Sus scrofa: one gene and its partners. The protein of the gene in region 2 interacts with the protein of the main gene of each other region in a pairwise test. Links are inferred from orthologs where the notes say so. Each region holds a gene or a part of one and is shown on either strand. Other genes may lie near its edges.

Region 1 (6,073 bases), on a different chromosome or scaffold from region 2:
GGGAGCGGCCCAAAGAAATAGCAAAAAGACAAAAAAAAAAAAAAATTCTTGAGCCATGGACTCCATAAGCATAATAAAATACTCTTTTTTTATTATTTACTTATTTATTTTTGGCCACACCCATAGTATGTGAAAGTTCCCAGGCCGGGGGTCAAACCCACCCCACAGCAGCAACCCAACGCTGGATCCTTAACCCTCTGTGCCACAAGGGAATTCCAATAGTGACAACGCTGGATCCTTAACCCTCTGTGCCACAAGGGAATTCCAATAGTCTTTGATTTATGCCACAAAGTTCAGGTTGATTTATTACACAGCAATGGTAACTAGACTATCACCCTTCCCCACCAGATCTCTCAAGGGTTGTGTATTCTCACCACCTCTATTTCTTTATCCCTATGTAGTCCCCTAATCTGGATTTTGCTCCCTTCTTTCAAGCGTAATAATGTTCTCTGAAGTCAATGATTTCCAAGTTGTTAAATCCAATAGACATTTTCTTTCTTTCTTTTTTTTTTCTTTTTGCCATTTCTTGGGCCGCTCCCTCGGCATATGGAAGTTCCCAGGCTAGGGGTCCAATAGGAGCTGTAGCCGCTGGCCTACGCCAGAGCCACAACAACACAGGATCCGAGCCGCGTCTGCAACCTATACCACAGCTCATGGCAACACTGGATCCTTAACCCACTGAGCGAGGCCAGGGATCGAACCTGCATCCTCATGGATACTAGTTGGGTTTGTTTCTGCTGAGCCACAATGGAAACTCCCCCCCTCCTAGTTTCCATAACACCGCACTATCCCACATCTCTTCCTTCTATCCCAGTCACTTCTTAGATTCTTGCAATTTTACTTTCCTCTAGGAAGCCACTAGATGATGAAGCTGGTGATGCTTGTTCTATGCTTTATTCTTTTCTTATTTTATATTCTCTTTCTCTATCTATATCCATGGTTTTAATTCCTAGCTACATTGATGACAACACTTTACCTCAAATAATTTTATCTATTATGTTCCAGGCCATATGTCCAAATGCCTTTTAACATTTTGTACTATCTAGGGTTCTTAGTGACACAGACTCATTTGCCTTGGCTGATTTAAACAGAAATGAATGTATTAAAAGTTTACAGAATTATGGGAAGAGCAAAGCATAGGGTTTGGTGCCTATGCTAACCAGGTAGAAACAACAGCAAGTCATACCATAGAACTGGCCTGGTAAGGATACCAACACTGCTCTCAGCAGAGACCTGGCAGCTGGCACCACAGATAACCCTAGTGCTGGACAGCGGATACTGCCACTAACAGCACTGCCTCTATGGCACCTGGAGACACTATCTTGCTGCAACAGTCACCACTGCCAGAAAAGATTCTTAGAGGTTCCTGCTTCTTGGTGGTATAGCTCCCTCATCAAAGTCCCCAGTAAGTGCCTCTGATTATTAAAGTGTAGCCCATGACCATTGCCTTAGCCACAAGGGATTCTGGGAAAGCAAGTCACTGGCATTTCCAGATTCTGCTGCAGAAGGCAGATTCTATCTCCCACCAATTATTCATAACATAAGAAGTTCGCCAAACATATAAATTGAGTTTCAGAAGCTAGGAGGGGGAAGTTGAGGGAAAAAACTTCCATTACTTTTTCCTTGCAACAAAGGATGTGCTCTCTTGAGGAACAAGTTTGTAGAACTTTTTTGCATGTTTTAATTAATTAAGGCTAAAATAAAACCCTTTGTGATAACAATGCCCAGGTCTTTGGGGGAGAATTCTCAATGGGGATGCTAGCAGAATAGTTTGGGTACATCCAAATCTCCTGATACCTAGCAGGTTTTCAAACATGTTTTCAATTACCTGTTCAGAATGTGAGAAGGTGCAACTAAATAGCAAAATAACTCAAGTAATACAGAAGTGACATTAAGAGATAGTTGTGAATATTTTGTATCCTTCTAGTAGAGACTATGATCCTCAAATCACATAGCTAACTATTGATGAAACCACAGTAATAAATTCTGTTCAGTATGACTGAGTGTGACAAAAGAGAGAAATCCAACAAAAACTAAATGTTTTAAAATTTTGAGTCTTTTTTTCGGTTTTGCTATATCACAGTATTATTCAATGCCTGACCCCAGCAGAAGGAACTGGAAAACGTAGTTTGTAGAATTAATGTTTGCCTGCTAACTATGAATATTCAGTGATTTATGATGTTAGCAGATATAGAACCTGACGTGTGTACTCTAAACATTAGGGATGTATCATCAATGTTAGTATTTGACAACACAAAACCTCCTATTCTTACTAGTTTTATATTTTCTCTGAACTTGACCAAGGATTATTTTTTCTTATCTCAGCTTCTTGGGTTATCCTCTTCAAAGAAAATTCTTGTGACTTGCAGAGGTTTAGAAAAGATTACCCTTGACTAAAACGAGTTCTTCAAAAAGGGAAAAATTCTGTGCAGATCTCTTCCATTTGACGTTGCTAAACTTAAGTACAATAATGTCACATGCACTTATACAGTAATTGTGGGCACGCCTAAGTCCCTCCCTCTTTCCTAAACCAAATTCCCCAGATCCTAGAAATCCAGCCCTTCTGCCCTCCCGGAGGCGCCTTTCCCAACGTAAAGTACAATTTAAAATTTAAGCTCCTTACTAAATAATGATTCTGTAGTCAAGTGCTAGGGGATCTGGGCACTCCATTGCCTCCGGAGGGTGCAGCAGGGTGTAGGCAAGGGCAGGGGGAGTGGGCGAAGCTGCTGGTTGGTGCCTGAAATCTGTGCGTTGCCCCTTTAATTGTGTCCCCAGCCCTCGGGCGTTTCTGTCCAACGCCCACGTCAGCAAATACCTTTTGTTTCTCTCACGTTGGGGCTACTTGTTTTAGGGCGCAAAGGAACGGCTTCAAAAGGGGGTATTTCCCCTGCCGGGAACCGGGAATCTTCCCCCAGCCCGCGCGCGCGCCCCGCCGGTGCGCCGCGGCCCGCGGTAAGTGGCTGCGCGCGACGCGGGCGAAGGGCGGGCGGGGCGTCGGGGCTGCCCGGGACGGGCCCACGAGCCTAGCTGCGGGCGAAGGCGCCGCGGGCTCTGGTCCCCGGGCGGCAGCGGCGGCGGCGACAGCGGGATGCGGCCCCGGCGCGGCGCCCCCAGACGTTCCCGGTCCAGAGAGCGGCGGGAGGCGCAGAGGCGAGCGGGCGCCATTTGCAGCCCCGGGCACAGCGGCGGTGGCGCGCCGGCTCCGAGGGGCTGGAGACGGTCACAAAGGAGGCGCGGGCAGCCGGCGCCCAGGACCCGGCCTCCGGGCGGCGGCCAGCGGGGGAGAGGCGGGCGGCGGCGGGGCGCACCGGTCCCCGGACTGCGCGGCCGCCTCTCCGGCGCCCATCCAACCGCCCGGCCCGGCCCGCCTGCGCGCCCGGGAGGGGTTGCGGGACAATGGCAGCGCCGTCGCCGCCCGCGCCCGCCCAGCGCCGCGCCCGCCTGGCCGCCCGGCCTGGCCCGGCCGCGGCGCGGGGAAAGGCGGGAAGGCGCGCGGAGCCTCCTGGCGGCGGCGGCGGGAAGGCGGCGCGGGGACCGTGCCGGGCGTGTCTGGAGCCGTCGGGCGGCGCGGACTCCCGGAGGGTCGGCAGCCAGCCGGGCTCGGGCTGCGCGGCGGGTGATGGGTGGCCCGCCGGGTGGGGTGGCCAAGGTCCGGGGCTTCTCTCCTGCAGCTCCGGGCGCTTCCTCGGGTAGGTGGCTGGCTGGGCAGTAGTCCGAGTTTCTGCGTACATCCTCCATCCTTTGGTTTTATATGGTGATGTGACAGATCCGGGCTGAGAAGCCAAGGCAGACTTACTATACCTAACAAATATTGAGCTATAATTATTATTTTATGCCGAACCCACACGTACGCACCTTCTACCTATGCAGACGGCCTCTCTTGTAAGTTAATTAGTGGTTTGGCCCCTTCTCCATCGCATGCGCTTATTTATTGTTGATTGTGCCAGTAGCCAGCCAGTCTCCACATCTTTAAAAGGCGTGGTTTTTTTGTTTTTTTTTTTCTCCCCTTTTTTTCCTTTTAAATTGAGATATGGTAGACAAGTAACATTGTGTTAGTTTTAGTCCAATGAGTGTTTGGAAGCCGCAGATTCTCACCTATTGGGCTTTTAAACTCCACACATCAGTTTTACTTCTATTCTTGATAAATGTTTTTATTTGCAGAACTTTAGTAAATGGAGTGCTTTCGCCTATATGAATTATATCACATAAAACAACTACCCAGTCAGGCTGAGGATTATTTCACTTTCTAGATGAGGAAACACATTAAGCATTTAAGCTTTAAGCCAGGAGGTGAGAGGTGGCAGCCTTCCAATGCCCTTGCCTCCTGCTCTAGCTCTTCATTTCCTCCTAAAGTCACCTCCAGAGCTTTCCAGTAAGCAACTCATATTGCTTCCCTGCTCTGAAAACGTTAACTGATTTGTATCAGAAGCAAATCTAAAATCCTCAGCAGAAGAACCCCAGCTCAATCTTCCTTTCTGTAACCTTCCCCAAGCCCTGGGTATGGCTGGGTTTGTGAGGCCCCTGGAGCAAGAGCCCTTTGCTATAACCAGAGATCAGATGTCTTTATTCCCAGGAGCCCCCTGACCACACAAGATGTTAATGGGAAGTGAGGATCCAACCTGCCGGTCTTGGCTAAACGGACATGGCTCTAAAATGTTAGTAGGAGGCATCGTCTTGACCTTTTCCACATCATGTAAATTTCCGACCCGGTAAAGAAGGCACTCTGCTAGACCTTTTCTCAGGGCCTTGAAATTACCAGCTTTGCTGTTGATAGTGATTTGAGCCCAGGAAAAACTTTGTAAGATAGGGCAATACTTGTTTCCTCCTATATCATTTAAATCTTATTTTCTAGATCAAATGGAATTTCTGTCTAATAGGTTCAACCCTTTCAGTGACCTAACTACATGTTTATCAGATTTAAAAGATTTGGTGCAAGTTTTTTCATCCCCTTGAGGGAAGTCTTTGTCACCTCTTTGCTCAGAATTGGTCAGTGGCTCCCCATCTTCAGTGGCTCCCCATTTTACTCAGACCAAAAGTCGGAGGCCCCTAAATAGTCTGTAAGGCCTTGTAGAAACTGGTCCCATGATGTCCTACCTGCCCCAGCCCTCCTTAATGTTCCTCCAGTCTTCTTTGCCTGCTTCACCTCAGAGCCTTTGCACTTGCTGTTACATCTGCCTGGAACACCCTTCCCCCAGATGCCTGACTGACTCTTTGTCCTCCTTTGGACCCTTTTTTTTTTTTTTTTTCTTTTCTTTGGCCCCAGCCTGCAGCTTGATGTGGGATCTCAGTTCCCAGACCAGGGATGGAACTCAAGCCACAGCAGTGAAAGCACCACATCCTAACTACTAAACCACCAGGGAACTCTCTAGACTTTATTTTTTTAATTAAAAAATTTCTTTTCCTTTTTTTTTTTTTTTCTTTTTGGCATCCACAGCACATGGAATTTCCCGGGCCAGGGACTGAATCTGAGCCACAGCTGCATCAACACCAGATTCTTAACCCAATGAACCAGGCTGGGGATCAAGCCTGTACTGCCTCAGAGACAGTGCCAGATCCATAACCTGCTGTACCACAGTGGGAACTCCTGGATTTTTCTTTAAATGCCATCTTTTCATTGAGATTTGCCCAAATACTGCTTTGATTTTCTTAAACAGTTTTATACTTAGTTCTAAATCTTTCCGGGGTTGGAGTTCCCGTTGTGCCGTGGTGGAAACGAATCTGACTGGTATCCATGAGGATGTGGGTTCAATCCCTGGCCTCGATTAGTGGATCGGGGATCTGGTGTTGCCGTGAGCTATGGTGCAGGTCGTTGACATGGCTCGCTCGGATCCTGAGTTGCTGTGGCTGTGGCATAAGATGGCAGTTGTAGCTCCGATTTGACCCGTAGCCTGCCAACTTCCATATGCTGCAAGATCGACCCTAAAAAGTAAAAAAAAAAAAATTTGGCCATGCCAGCAGCATGCAGAATTTCCCAGGCTAGGGATTGAACCCACACCTCTGCAGTGACTACTCTGGATCCTTAACCTGTTGAGCCACACGGGAACTCCCCAATTTTTTTTCTTTTGGCTGTGGC
Region 2 (5,884 bases):
TTCTGATAATTTACTTGTCCTTTGAGTGAACAAAAAGTACTTTAATGGAAAAGTCAAAAAAGTATTTTTATGCCAAGGGTGCTATCCTCCGAATGTGCATTAAGTACAGAGGCAAAATGCAATGCTTTAACTTAGGTAGTGTGACCATCCCACTCTGTCATGCCCTTTTTACTTTTACAAAAATCCCTTACAGCCTAAATCTTAATCCAAAAATTCACCCTCATTACTGCTCTTTACCAGTTTCTACTCACTCCAAGTGTTACTCAACCAGATCCTTTTGCTTACAAATCTATAGTAGCCTTAGAGTTCCCATCATGGCTCAGTAGTTAACAAATCCAACTAGGAACCACGGGGTTTCAGGTTCCATCCCTGGCCTCGCTCAGTGGGTTAAGGATCCAGCCCGGCGTTGCTGTGAGCTGTGGTGTAGGTCGCAGATGTGGCTCGGATGCCAAGTTGCTGTGGCTGTGGCATAGGCTGGCAGCTACAGCTCCAATTAGACCCCTAGCCTGGGAACCTCCATATGCCGAGTGTGCAGCCCTAGAAAAGCCACCCCCCCAAAAAAAAGTCTAGCAGCCTTGATTCACCACTACCATGTCATCACCATGGACAAAAATCTCTCATTTACATTTACTTCCTCTGCCTCCTTTCGTCCAGCTCATTCTTCTCAAATCCCTTGGTTCCCCACCAAAGATGCTTTCCCCTCTCCATCTATTTCATTCCTCTCCTGGAATACTAATCTTAGGATGGGTTTAGGGATGAAAACCTTAGGCCAGGCATTTTGCAAAGAATACCACAAATTTCCTCATTTAATCCTCATACAAATACTAAGATTTAGGAATTATCCCTATTTTTCCATGTGGAAAACTGATGTTAAATAACTTGCCCAAGGTTACAACTAGCATTTTAATCCAAACCCTTCTATTTCAAAAGCCGCACTCTTAACCATTGTACTCTATTGTCTCCAGAGTCTGACTCAAATATGTGGGAAAAAAGTTTCCTTAACTTTGTAGACAATAAGAAGAAAAAAGATCTCTGAATAACTTTGTTTTTTAAACAGGGTCTTCGCAGATGCTGACAGCCTTCTAGCCAAAGCTCAAAAGGGAACATCACCTGCAGCAGAATCTCTCCACCTGGAGGGCTCCTCAGGGCTCAGCAGCTTGGCCAAGGAGCAGCACAGCAAGCATCTCCAGCAAGAATGGATGCAAGGCACAGGAGGAAGGCTGGATCTTGGGCACAGAGTGCCAATAGGGAACAGGTGATTAAGAGATCCCCGTCCCCATGAAGCCCATCAGTTCATTCTGAGACCTTCGTGGTGGTGGTGGTGGTAGTGTGCCTTTTAGTGCGGAACAGAGTAGCTGCCCACCTCAAAAGATTCCCAGATCCGATTTTAAAAGCTTTTAAGAGACAAGGTAGTCACCTAACAATCAAGGGCAAGCAATGACTCCTATGAAAAAGCCTACACATCTACGACAGCGCAGCTAACTTCGAGGGGGCACCAAGAAACGTCTATGGTGGTAAGAAAAGTGCTCCCGTGATGCCTACTAGAATGTAGAGACGGCCACGGCCCCCTCCTCCATAGAGGAGCTGCAAATCCATTTTCCCTTGGTCTGTGTGACAGAAAAGGGAGGCGGCACCCCAATGTCTTCACTCCGAGGGCCTCAGCGACGCACCTCTCGAGCCCTTTCCTTCTAAGGAGTAAGAGGCGTCCCTGTCCGTCGCCCCGCTTAGCCCCAGTCCCCCTCTAGAATTCGGCAATTCTCTCTCCCCTACTCGCTCTCCCTCCAACCTCCTTTCCCCACCCCTCAGCGTGCTAGACCTCTCCTCCCCTATTCCTCGCCTCTCTTCCCTCCCCATTTGGTCCCTTGGCCCCGACTGTCGAACCGCCTGGCCCTGGTACCTTGAGCGTCACGTCGCACAGCTTGCCCTGCCGTCGAATCTCCTCCATGACGCCGTAGCCGCGACTAGGCAACTCGGACACAGAGAAGTGCACCAGGTCCTCCAGCTCCTCAGCGCCGTCCTCCACCATCTTCCTCTGCCGCCGCGACTGCGCAGGCCCAGCCTGCCGCCCCGAAACTAAGCAGGGCGGGGCGAGAGAGCGTGCGGCCGGCAGCTCGGAGCTCCGGGCTGGAGTAGGAAGGGCCTGCGCGGCCGCCGTAGTCTCAGACTACTTTGTGCCGGAAGCCCAACCGCCCCGCTTCCTAGTTCTTGCGCATCCTTTGTTTCCTCGTTACCGCGACCCTCGCTTCGCGCCTGCAGCTGCCGCAGTCTTTCTTGATTAATCCGTCCCATCTCCCGTCCTTCTTACTCAGCCCTGACCTTACTCATATCTCAACAGAGGACAGAGAACTTCATTTCCGCCACTACCCCGTGCTTCCTGAATCGCCGGAAGCGGCAGGTTGCCATGGCGACTGTGTACACAGCCTGGCAGAGGCTCAAGCCGGGATTCCTTCGCTGCTCCTGCTGCGGTCGTGCTGTGGGAGGGCTCCTACCGCCGAAGAGGTAATCAGGCATCATGCTTCGCCGGGGTTGGGAGGAGGGAAGCCGGAAAGCAGGTGTTGGCTCTGGCGGCGGGCAGTCGCTGGAATTTGAACAGCGCTCCACCTGGGAATTCTCCACTTTGGCTCAGTAACCTGTGAAACCTGGGCGGAGGAGGGCGAAGCGTCGCGGGGACCCTTTTAGCCTGGCTGCCGCTAAGGGTGTTCGAATCTAACGTTCCCTGGCCCCACGAGGGCCCTGCGTCGCGTCTGAGGTTTAGAGACCTCTAGTCTTCTGGACCCTTATGTGTTCGTAGAATTTCTAGTTGGAGTGGGCTTTGGGATTGCCAGTCCCAGCTGTTCGCTTTACAGATGTAGAAACCTCTCCAGAGAGGGATAGAGATGGTCTCCAAACCCACTGCCGAATGCCACACAAGGGTCCAGCATGTTGGGTCAGGAAAAGGAGAAAGGCTAGTTCTACTTGAGTTCCAGTCTTTTGTTTAGTCCAAGGCTAGGTGCGTTTGGGCTCTGGGAGGCTCTGATGCTGCTGCCTCTCTAGTGGCTCTGAGAGTTCTGATGGCCGCTCAGAGGTTCACTTTTTTTTTTTTTAATGGCCGCACCCATGGCATTCGGAAATTCCTGGGCCAGGGTTTGAATCTAAGTCACAGCTTCGACCTGCAGATCCTTTAACCCACTGCCCCAGACTGGGTATCAAACCCGCACTTTAGCAGGGACCTGAGCTACTGCAGTCGAATTCTTAAGCTACTGTGCCACAGCAGGACCTCCATAGGTTCACTTATTTACACCAGAAATAACTAAATGTGGTGTCCTTGAGGAAGAAGCATTTCCTACAAGGTCCTGGGGGAGAATGACCCTACTAAAAGGGAAAAGTGTTGAGGGGCTGGAGTTGGCTTCTTGCAGGTGGTGCCTGGAAACCCATTGTCTGCCTGGAAGTGTTGTGATGTTAGGGGTGGAGGCAGTATGGGAAAGGAGTGACATTATTTGCTCTTTGGGACTCTCTCAGTAGTGACCGAAGATGGACCCACATATGGAAATTCAGCCATCCTCTGACTTCCAGCCATGACCATCACCACCAATCACCATTTCTTAAGCACCTGCTCTGTGCTGAGCACTGTTCTGAACTTTGAGGGGGGATTCAAAAGAGATAGAAGGCACAGTCCTGTCCCTCAAGCAGCTTGTAATTTAATCTGGGAGCTGAAACCCACTCAAATGATGCGGCGTAAGAACGGTAACAAGCATTATTTCAGTAAGTGCACAATGGCATGGGGTCCTCAAATGTCTGGGTGTTGAGGGGCTGCTAGATAGCAGACTCACAGGAAGGAGCCAGTTAATAGAGAAAGCTGGTCTCAAGTGGATATGGGTCCTGGTGTGCCTGGAGCCATGGGTGTAAGCATGGGAAGTGCCTTGGGAAGCATAGATATGATGACTGCATGTGCATGTGGGCAAACTGCTGGGCAGAAAAGGGGCAGGCTCTGAGGGGAGGGAAATGCTTGGAGGTGGCTTCATGCTGCCCTTGGGCTGTCATTGGGGAGTGGTTTCCAGGAGGGGGGCTTGGGCATCTGCCCCCAGAGCTGTCCTGTTTCTTCATGGTCCCTTGCAGAGGGCACCTTGGACAGTATCTTAACTTCCTTGGGCTGGAGGATGGTTCTCCAGACGGGTATGGAGAATGCTTCCCAGAGCTTTAGATTTCGAAGGTCATTGTTTGCTTGAGTCAACACACCTCCCTCCACTCTCCACTTCCCAATAGCCTAGATCAAAGTGAACTTGGAAATGAGATATTCTCTTTAGTTTCCTCAATTTGGGAGTCATGTTAGAGCTATTTGTGGCTTTTCATTTCAAGAGCTCAATTTTGCAAACGAAGATTTTGGAACTGAAATTGGACAAGCTGTTATCCTTAGGTACCTTTTAGATTCATTTTCTAAGAATTAAAAGATCTGAAAGATCTCACAGTGACCAGGAAAAGACTTCCATGAAGTAATTAGTTGAGGAATGTTGGAAGTGACACATGCTCTACAGTAGGCAAATGTGAAAATAACGTTTGCTTATTTGAAGTGACAGTTGAAGGGTTTGTAATAGGGTTAGAATTTTTTATTTTGTCTGCTTCATTAAAACTGTAAACTGAAAGGGCAGGACCTATTTAACTTGCTTCTGTAGAGATATTTAATGCCACTTGATATAGTTAAGATAATGGTAAGAGGAAATCAAGTGTTCACCACATTTGACTGTGTTGTGTCTGAAATGTGAAGGGATATTAATACTTTAAAAATCTGGAATCGGGAGTTCCCATCGTGGCGCAGTGGTTAACGAATCCGACTAGGAACCACAAGGTTGCGGGTTCAGTCCCTGACCTTGCTCAGTGGGTTAAGGATCCGGCGTTGCCGTGAGCTGTGGTGTAGGTTGCAGACGCGGCTCGGATCCCGCGTTGCTGTGGCTCTGGCGCAGGCTGGTGGCTACAGCTCCGATTCGACCCCTAGCCTGGGAACCTCCATATGCCGCGGGAGCGGCCCAAGAAATAGCAACAACAACAACAACAACAACAAAAAAAAGACAAAAAGACAAAAAAAAAAAAAAATCTGGAATCGTTTCTATCAGGTAACACTCACTTAACCTCTCTCAGATAATACATATAAAATGTTAATAGTCTTTATTTAATATATGCTCCCCCCACCCTTTGGCCACCACACACAGCATGTGAAGTTTCCAAGATCTACTCTGTAGTGGCAACCTATACCAAAGCTCATGGCAACACCAGATCCTTAACCCACTGAGCAAGGCCAAGGATCCAGCCTGCGTCCTCATGGATACTAGTTGGATTCTTAACCTTCTGAGCCACAATGGGAACTCCCCTAATATATGCTTTTTTAAAAGTAAAATAATTCTAGTTAAAAGAAGAAATCTCTGTTGAACAGGACTTTTTTTTTAACAGTCAAGTTCTTGAAAATTACCTTTTTAAAAATATTGAACAGCTCATCAGTTCATTTGTAAGCATGCATTGCAATTGTGTAAGCAAGTTATTTTTTGCTCAATAACCATGTTGATATCCCTTTTTCCAGTTTGGAGGGGAAACTGAGTCGGCTCCATATGCCTCATATTTCCCTAATTTTACATAAATTCAGCAGCTCCTATGCTGGTTGTCTTTTTCAAATGTGTCCAGGAGTTTCCTTTAGCCTCAACTCCTCTATCCTGCCTCATGACAATAAAGGTTATTTTAGGGGCAGAAGCCTCATTTCTTAATGAACTGGGCCATCCCAGCCAGGAACATCAAAAGAGAACTGGATGATGCAGCACACATCCTGACCCTTGGGCCTCATCTCTGTTCAAAGCTAGTTTTGTACATTCTGGAAATTAACTCAGTTATTAGCATTCTTTATATTCTTGGTCTCATAAAA
Region 3 (6,021 bases), on a different chromosome or scaffold from region 2:
TCTACCTTAATGTACTGCTTCAGGGCCTTCCAATTCCCTCCCTGGAGTGGTGATACCCACCGCCACAATCCTGATGAGCTAGAGAGGGCAGCTTCCCACAATATCCCAAAATTGGATTAATTCCTTTGTTGGGCATATAAGTGCTCCTGTTGTAAAAAAGTATTTCCATGAAGTGTCCATCCTGTAACCAGACAACAGAGGAGCAGCAGAAGCCTAAGGACAAAAAGACAGGTTTTTAATAGACTTGTATGGGAAGGTCTTCTCCTTCTAACAGTTGCACCTGTGCCCTGATCCTTAGATGTTAATGGGGCTGCAGCTTTAGGAATTTGACCTAGTTATGCATAGCATACATGTTGGCCAGGGGAGGCAGCCCTGTCAGGCATGAAGAGATGGGCTGGGAGTATTCCCTGGGCGTGGGGGAGAATCTACCCCAAGGCAACAAATACTGGGATACCAATATCCACCTCATATATTTTGAAAATTAGAGATTATTCCTTAAAATATAAATTCCACAAAATCAGGGATTTTTGTCTGTCTTGTTTACTCTTACACTTATTTATTTATTTATTTATTTATTTTCTTAATGGCTGAACCTGTGGTATATGAAAGTTCACAGGCCAGGAATCAAACCTGAGCTGCAGCTGCAACTTTTGCCATGGCAGCAGCAATGCTGGATCCTTAACCCACTGCATGGAGCCAATATCAAACTCATGCCTCAGCAGTGACCCCAGCTGCCACAAAGACATCACTGGATCCTTAACCCACTGTGCCATAGAGGGAACTATGGAACTCCACACCTATACTTTTTGATTAGGTGTTTGGTAAGTATTTGCTCAAGGAATGAACAATGCATACAAAACATCTAGACAATTGGAGTTCCCATTGTGGCTCACTGGTTAGAGAACCTGACTAGCATCCATGAGGATTTGGGTTCCATCCCTGGCCTTGAGCAGCAGGTTAAGGATCCAGTACGCTGTGGTGTAGGTCGCAGACTACACCGCCCAGATCCCACGTTGCTGTGGCTCTGGCAGTAGGCCGGCTGCAACAGCTCCAATTGGACCCCTAGCCTGGGAACCTCCATGTGCCATGGGTGCGGCTCTAAAAAGACAAAAGAGACCAAAAAAAAAGAAAAAAATTTTAGGCAATGCCTCATACATGGTAAACATAAATGGCTTAGCTACTATGAAGGCATTTAATATGTAATATGATAATAAAGATAAATTATTGATATGAAGTAGAAAATAATGAATCGAAATAACTACCAAAAACCAAACTATGAAATTCCTGGTAGGAATGATTATTTCTACCTCAAAGGACCTGTACAACAACAGAAACCTGGTTAAACAAATTATGGTATATTCATGCAATGGAATACTATAAAAAAAGTCAAGGAAAATAAAAGAAATGCTGCTACACATGATCACATGGGCGAATCTCATAACCATAATGGTGAGCAAAAGAAATTAGACCCAAGGGAGCATATACTGTATGATTTAGGTGAATATGACATTCAAAAACTAGGTCACTGAATGTTGAATGTTTTATGGCACTGAATGTTGAATGGTTTATTAGGATACTTGCTTTGGGAAAGAGGACAAGTGCAGGTTTGGAGGGACACAGGGACAATCACAGACCGGGTAATGTTTTAATGTCTTGAGCCAGGTAGTGGTTTTATAATGATCATTCATTCTGTATGTATATTTGTATTAGTCAGCCTTGTTTCTGCTATAAAATAACAAGTAACACCAGCATCTCACTGGCTCACAACAACAAAAGGTTTTTGTTTCTTGCTTCCATTCCATGAAATCTATGGTCTACTGGGTTTATTTAGGCTTAGCTTAGCTTGGTTTCATTCCAGAAGTCTTCTCTTCTTAGACCCAGACTAAAAAACTGGCCACTATGTGGGGTATTTTTTTTTTTTCTTTTTTCACATGGCAGAGTTCAGAAACTCAAGGGTGATTACGGCAAGCTGTGCTATATTAAGATCTTTGGCTCAGATAAGAGTATACAGATTGCTCAAAACTTTGTTTCTGATCTTATTGTTCTGGTCATCTCCTCATGCCATAAGCCATGCTCAGAGTTCCCAAGACATAGACTATTTGAAGATTTTTTTTATTTCGCAATATTTATCAAGCTTCAGTGGGAATAAACCCTTGGTCTCTTTATTCAGAGAGCTATATTCTTCAGCTGAAAGCATTATTTTACAGATGTAATTGAAATCCCAAGTCAGTTGATTTTGAATCAGTCAAAACAGAGATTATCCGGGGGAGGTAAGGATATTATTTGGAATAGGACCCTCCCTAAGATAAGAAAGCTTCTTCTTTTGGCCTTGAAGAAGTAAGCTGTATGTCTTCAGAGAGCGTGGGAAACAACCATGTGGCAAGGAACTGCCAGCAGCCTCGCGGATCTGAAATAGCTCCAAGTGACCATCAGGAAAGGAGGGAAACCTCACTCCTACAACTGCAAGGAACTGCAATCACATGCTTGGAAGATCCAGAAAGGAATGTAGCCAGGCTGACACTGTGATTGCAGCCTGGCAGAGGACCCAGTGAAGCAGTGCCTGAACTCCTGACCCACAGACACTATGAGATGTACCAAAAAAAAAAAAAGTCCCATCATGACTCAGGGGAAAGGAATATGATTAGCATCCATGAGGACACAGGTTCCATCCCTGACCTCACTCAGTGGGTTAAGGACCTGGTGTTGCCATGAGCTGTGGTGTAGGTCACAGATGAGGCTTGGATCTGGTGTTGCTATGGTTGTGGCATAGGCTGGCAGCTACAGCTCAGATTCAACCCCTAGCCTGGGAATCTCCACATGCCACAAGTGGGGCTTTGAAAAAAAAATTAATAATAAGGTTGCTTTTTAAGCTGATAGATTTGTAGTGACTTGTTCTACGGCAATAGAAAAAAATAATAGACCTTGCATTCCATAATTTTTGCATGGCCTCACACGGGCCCTGTTAGTCTTCAGATCGTCTAGTGCAGTGGTTCTCAAATTTCAGTGTTCCTTGAAATCAACTAAAGGACTGTTAGAACAAAGACTGCGGAACCCCAACCTTAGAGATTCTTTTATTTATTTATTTACTTAAATTTTTTACAGTCGCACCTATGGCATATGGAAATTTCCGGGCTAGGGTAAAATTGGAGCTACAGAGGCTGTGCTTGGTAACACCAGATCCAAGCCGCATCTGCGACCTATGCTTATGGCAATACAAGATGAGTAACCCACTGAGCTAGGCCAGGGATGGAACCCATATCCTCACTATGTTGGGTTCTTAACCCACTGAGCCACAACGGGAACTCCAGAAATTCTAATTCAGTAGTTACAGAGTGAGGTCCACAATTGTGTGACTCTAACAACATCCGAGGTGACGCCAGCACTTTTGGTCTAGAAACCCTGCTTGGAGCATCCCAGGCCTCCCATGACTATGCTACTTCTATGCACTTTGCATGTCCTGAGTAGCAAAATAACATGAGAACATAAGCATCTGGTTGAAGCAAATGGTTGGCTTCCTTTCATATTAGAGGAATTTGTAAAAGAAAAAGAGAGAGGAAGATCTTACTAAATAATGTTCATTAACCTTAACGCCTGATTTTCGTTAAAGTGTCTGATACTTATTACTCCTGGGGCAGGTGAGCAAATGCTTATTTCCAGAGATGCACTAATACATTACTTTTCTCATATGATAATTTACATTCCTGTTTCTCTGTAGTAATTTCAAGAGTGGGCTGATTCATAGCCGAAATTGTTAGAATGCCATAAACCAATATTTACACTTGAAATTGTTAAAAGGCCATATTCGATACACTAAGAGGGCTCAATAAATTTAAAGTGAACTGCTAATTATGGATTAAGTTCATAATATCCCTGTTGTCACTACCTAAACAATTTAATACACACATTTTTTAAAAGAATTACAACTACTCATAATAATATCATCAGGGAGCCCCGAATGTGCTATTCATCTGTTCTAGTATTAAGTTTCATAGCTGGACCAATACACCATGGATCTAAAAGACACTATACACATCAAGAAACATAGACTTTTTACGTTTGATGTTCCAACTTGTTTAAATGTAAAAATCACCACCTTTTGTCTTCATTTTCTATAAAGGACTTTTTTCTTTCTTTTTTTATTTTGACAGAAGTTCCTCTTTCTATGCTAGCAGCTTCCAGGTAACTGTGGCATGGGAAGAACTACATCATTTAATGATCAGTCATAACAGAGAGATATTTATAACATTTTTCATGTCATTGCTCCTGTGCCCTTCCCAACACACACTCTGAGAATTGTAATTAATTCTTGAAATCCTAAAGGAACTACCTTCAATTCTTATACTGGGCTTTAAAATACATTTTTAAACAACAGACCTCCAAATTAAAGAGGAAAAGATATTAGAAATAAGTATCTGTGGGAAGAAATCACATAGAATCCAAGATAAAATAATACAGGAAAGAAAGTTGAGAGTTAAAAGTGGTATTATTGGAGTTCCTATGACAGCTCAGTGGTAACAAAACCGACCAGGATCCATGAGGATGCAGGTTCGATCCCTGGCCTTGCTCATTGGGTTAAACATCCAATGTTGCCATGAGCTGCAGTGTAGGTCGCAGATGCGGCTTGGATCCCTAGTTGCTGTGGCTGTGGTGCAGGCCTACACAGCTCCAATTCGACCCCTCACCTGGAAGTTCCATATGGCCTGGGTGCGGCCATTAAAAAGAAAAAAAAAAAAAAGTGGCATAATAATGTAGCACCCATGCCATATGGAAGTTCCCAGGCCAGGGATCTAATCCAAGCCACAGCCGTGACCTAAACCATAGTTGTGGTAATGCTGGATCCTTAACCAGCTGTGCCACAGCAGGAACTCCATATTATACAATTTTAATACATATTTGCTTATACATATTTGTATTCTACTATTTGCTTAAGTAAGAAAGAAAGAAAAATAGATACTATAACATTAACACAAAAGTATAAGCTCCTTGGAGTAAGGATTTTTGTCTTTGTTTATTGACTGATCCTCTGTTTCTCAAATACTTAGTGTAGAGTAGAAGTCCAGAATGTTTGTTGAATGAATGAATGGTTGGATAAGTGCATGAATGTGTGTGATGCAAAAACTAACCATGGTTCTTCCAGTCATGCAAAACACATATGTTATCCTGTGTGTATTCAAGCCTGCCAATCTGGAATATGGAAATGGTTCAGATTCTAGCACAATGTGCTAAAATCTCAATATTAAAGTGAAAAAAAAATCTAGGTGTTGAAACATCCATCGTTTGGCATAGAAAAGCCACCTATCTAAATAGCTCTGGTACAATGGGATAAGCAAAAAAAGAGTCACATATAAGGAGCGCAGGGCCCGAGACCGGTTGAAAAAGCTACTAAAAAATGGTAACATCTAAAAAATAAATAAATAAAAAATGATAACATCTAAGCACTATCCAAAAAGATGAGTGAGAGGACAAAGGAGTACCACATCCAAAGCCAAGGTACAAAAATGTCAAAGTTCACAGTGCTTTTAGAGAATAGTAAGTTGTGGATTTCAAACTTTTAACTGTAACCTGTAGCAAGAAATACACATATAGTACATTTAACTGAAACAAAACACATATAGTACATTTAACTGAAACAAGTTTCATGAAATAATACTCACCTTTACTCATTCGATGTACCTGGATTTTTTTTTATTTTTTATTATTAATATTATTATTATTGGTAATGTTGGTGAAGCCATATTAAATCAGTTTCAAGATCCATTTGTTTGAAAAACATTGGGTTTGCACATTTAATAGATGTGGCGAGTAAGCCACTGACAGGAAAATACAAAGAACGCTCCTCCAGCACAGCTCCAATTCTTCTCCCATCCAGGTGTTTTGCTGCTGAGCTGCAATGTTAAGGGAAAGACTATGATATGGTCCCTTTTTTTACTTAAAACAACTTAGTGTGGTAGAAAAGGGTAAAGGAATCTCTGTATGTATCAAGCCAGAGGGCAGGAAGGGAGAGTGCCACAGGTCATTTTG

Evidence for each region. The genes of interacting proteins can lie anywhere in the genome.
Region 1: the proteins of KIF9 (region 2) and ZBTB8A interact in binary tests that used the Homo sapiens proteins (3 or more experiments, as listed by UniProt). The two-hybrid records come from large-scale screens. The link is inferred for Sus scrofa from reciprocal best matches to the Homo sapiens genes KIF9 and ZBTB8A.
Region 3: the proteins of KIF9 (region 2) and PRMT6 interact in a two-hybrid assay, tested with the Homo sapiens proteins (2 studies listed by BioGRID and IntAct). The link is inferred for Sus scrofa from reciprocal best matches to the Homo sapiens genes KIF9 and PRMT6.

Annotation. Positions count from the first base shown.
Region 1 is NC_010448.4:88,920,254-88,926,326, forward strand, and holds the start of ZBTB8A (zinc finger and BTB domain-containing protein 8A), read left to right. Parts: upstream 1-1,992; 5' UTR 1,993-2,952; intron 2,953-6,073. UniProt on the Homo sapiens protein: May be involved in transcriptional regulation.
Region 2 is NC_010455.5:30,059,351-30,065,234, reverse strand, and holds the start of KIF9 (kinesin-like protein KIF9), read left to right. Parts: upstream 1-2,363; 5' UTR 2,364-2,401; coding exon of another isoform or gene 2,402-2,499; intron 2,500-3,495; exon of another isoform or gene 3,496-3,498; 5' UTR 3,499-3,554; coding exon 3,555-3,741; intron 3,742-5,884. Other genes in the region: KLHL18 (kelch-like protein 18), read right to left, coding at 1,898-2,026. UniProt on the Homo sapiens protein: Essential for normal male fertility and for progressive motility of spermatozoa.
Region 3 is NC_010446.5:112,706,225-112,712,245, reverse strand, and holds the start of PRMT6 (protein arginine N-methyltransferase 6), read left to right. Parts: upstream 1-1,940; 5' UTR 1,941-6,021. UniProt on the Homo sapiens protein: Arginine methyltransferase that can catalyze the formation of both omega-N monomethylarginine (MMA) and asymmetrical dimethylarginine (aDMA), with a strong preference for the formation of aDMA.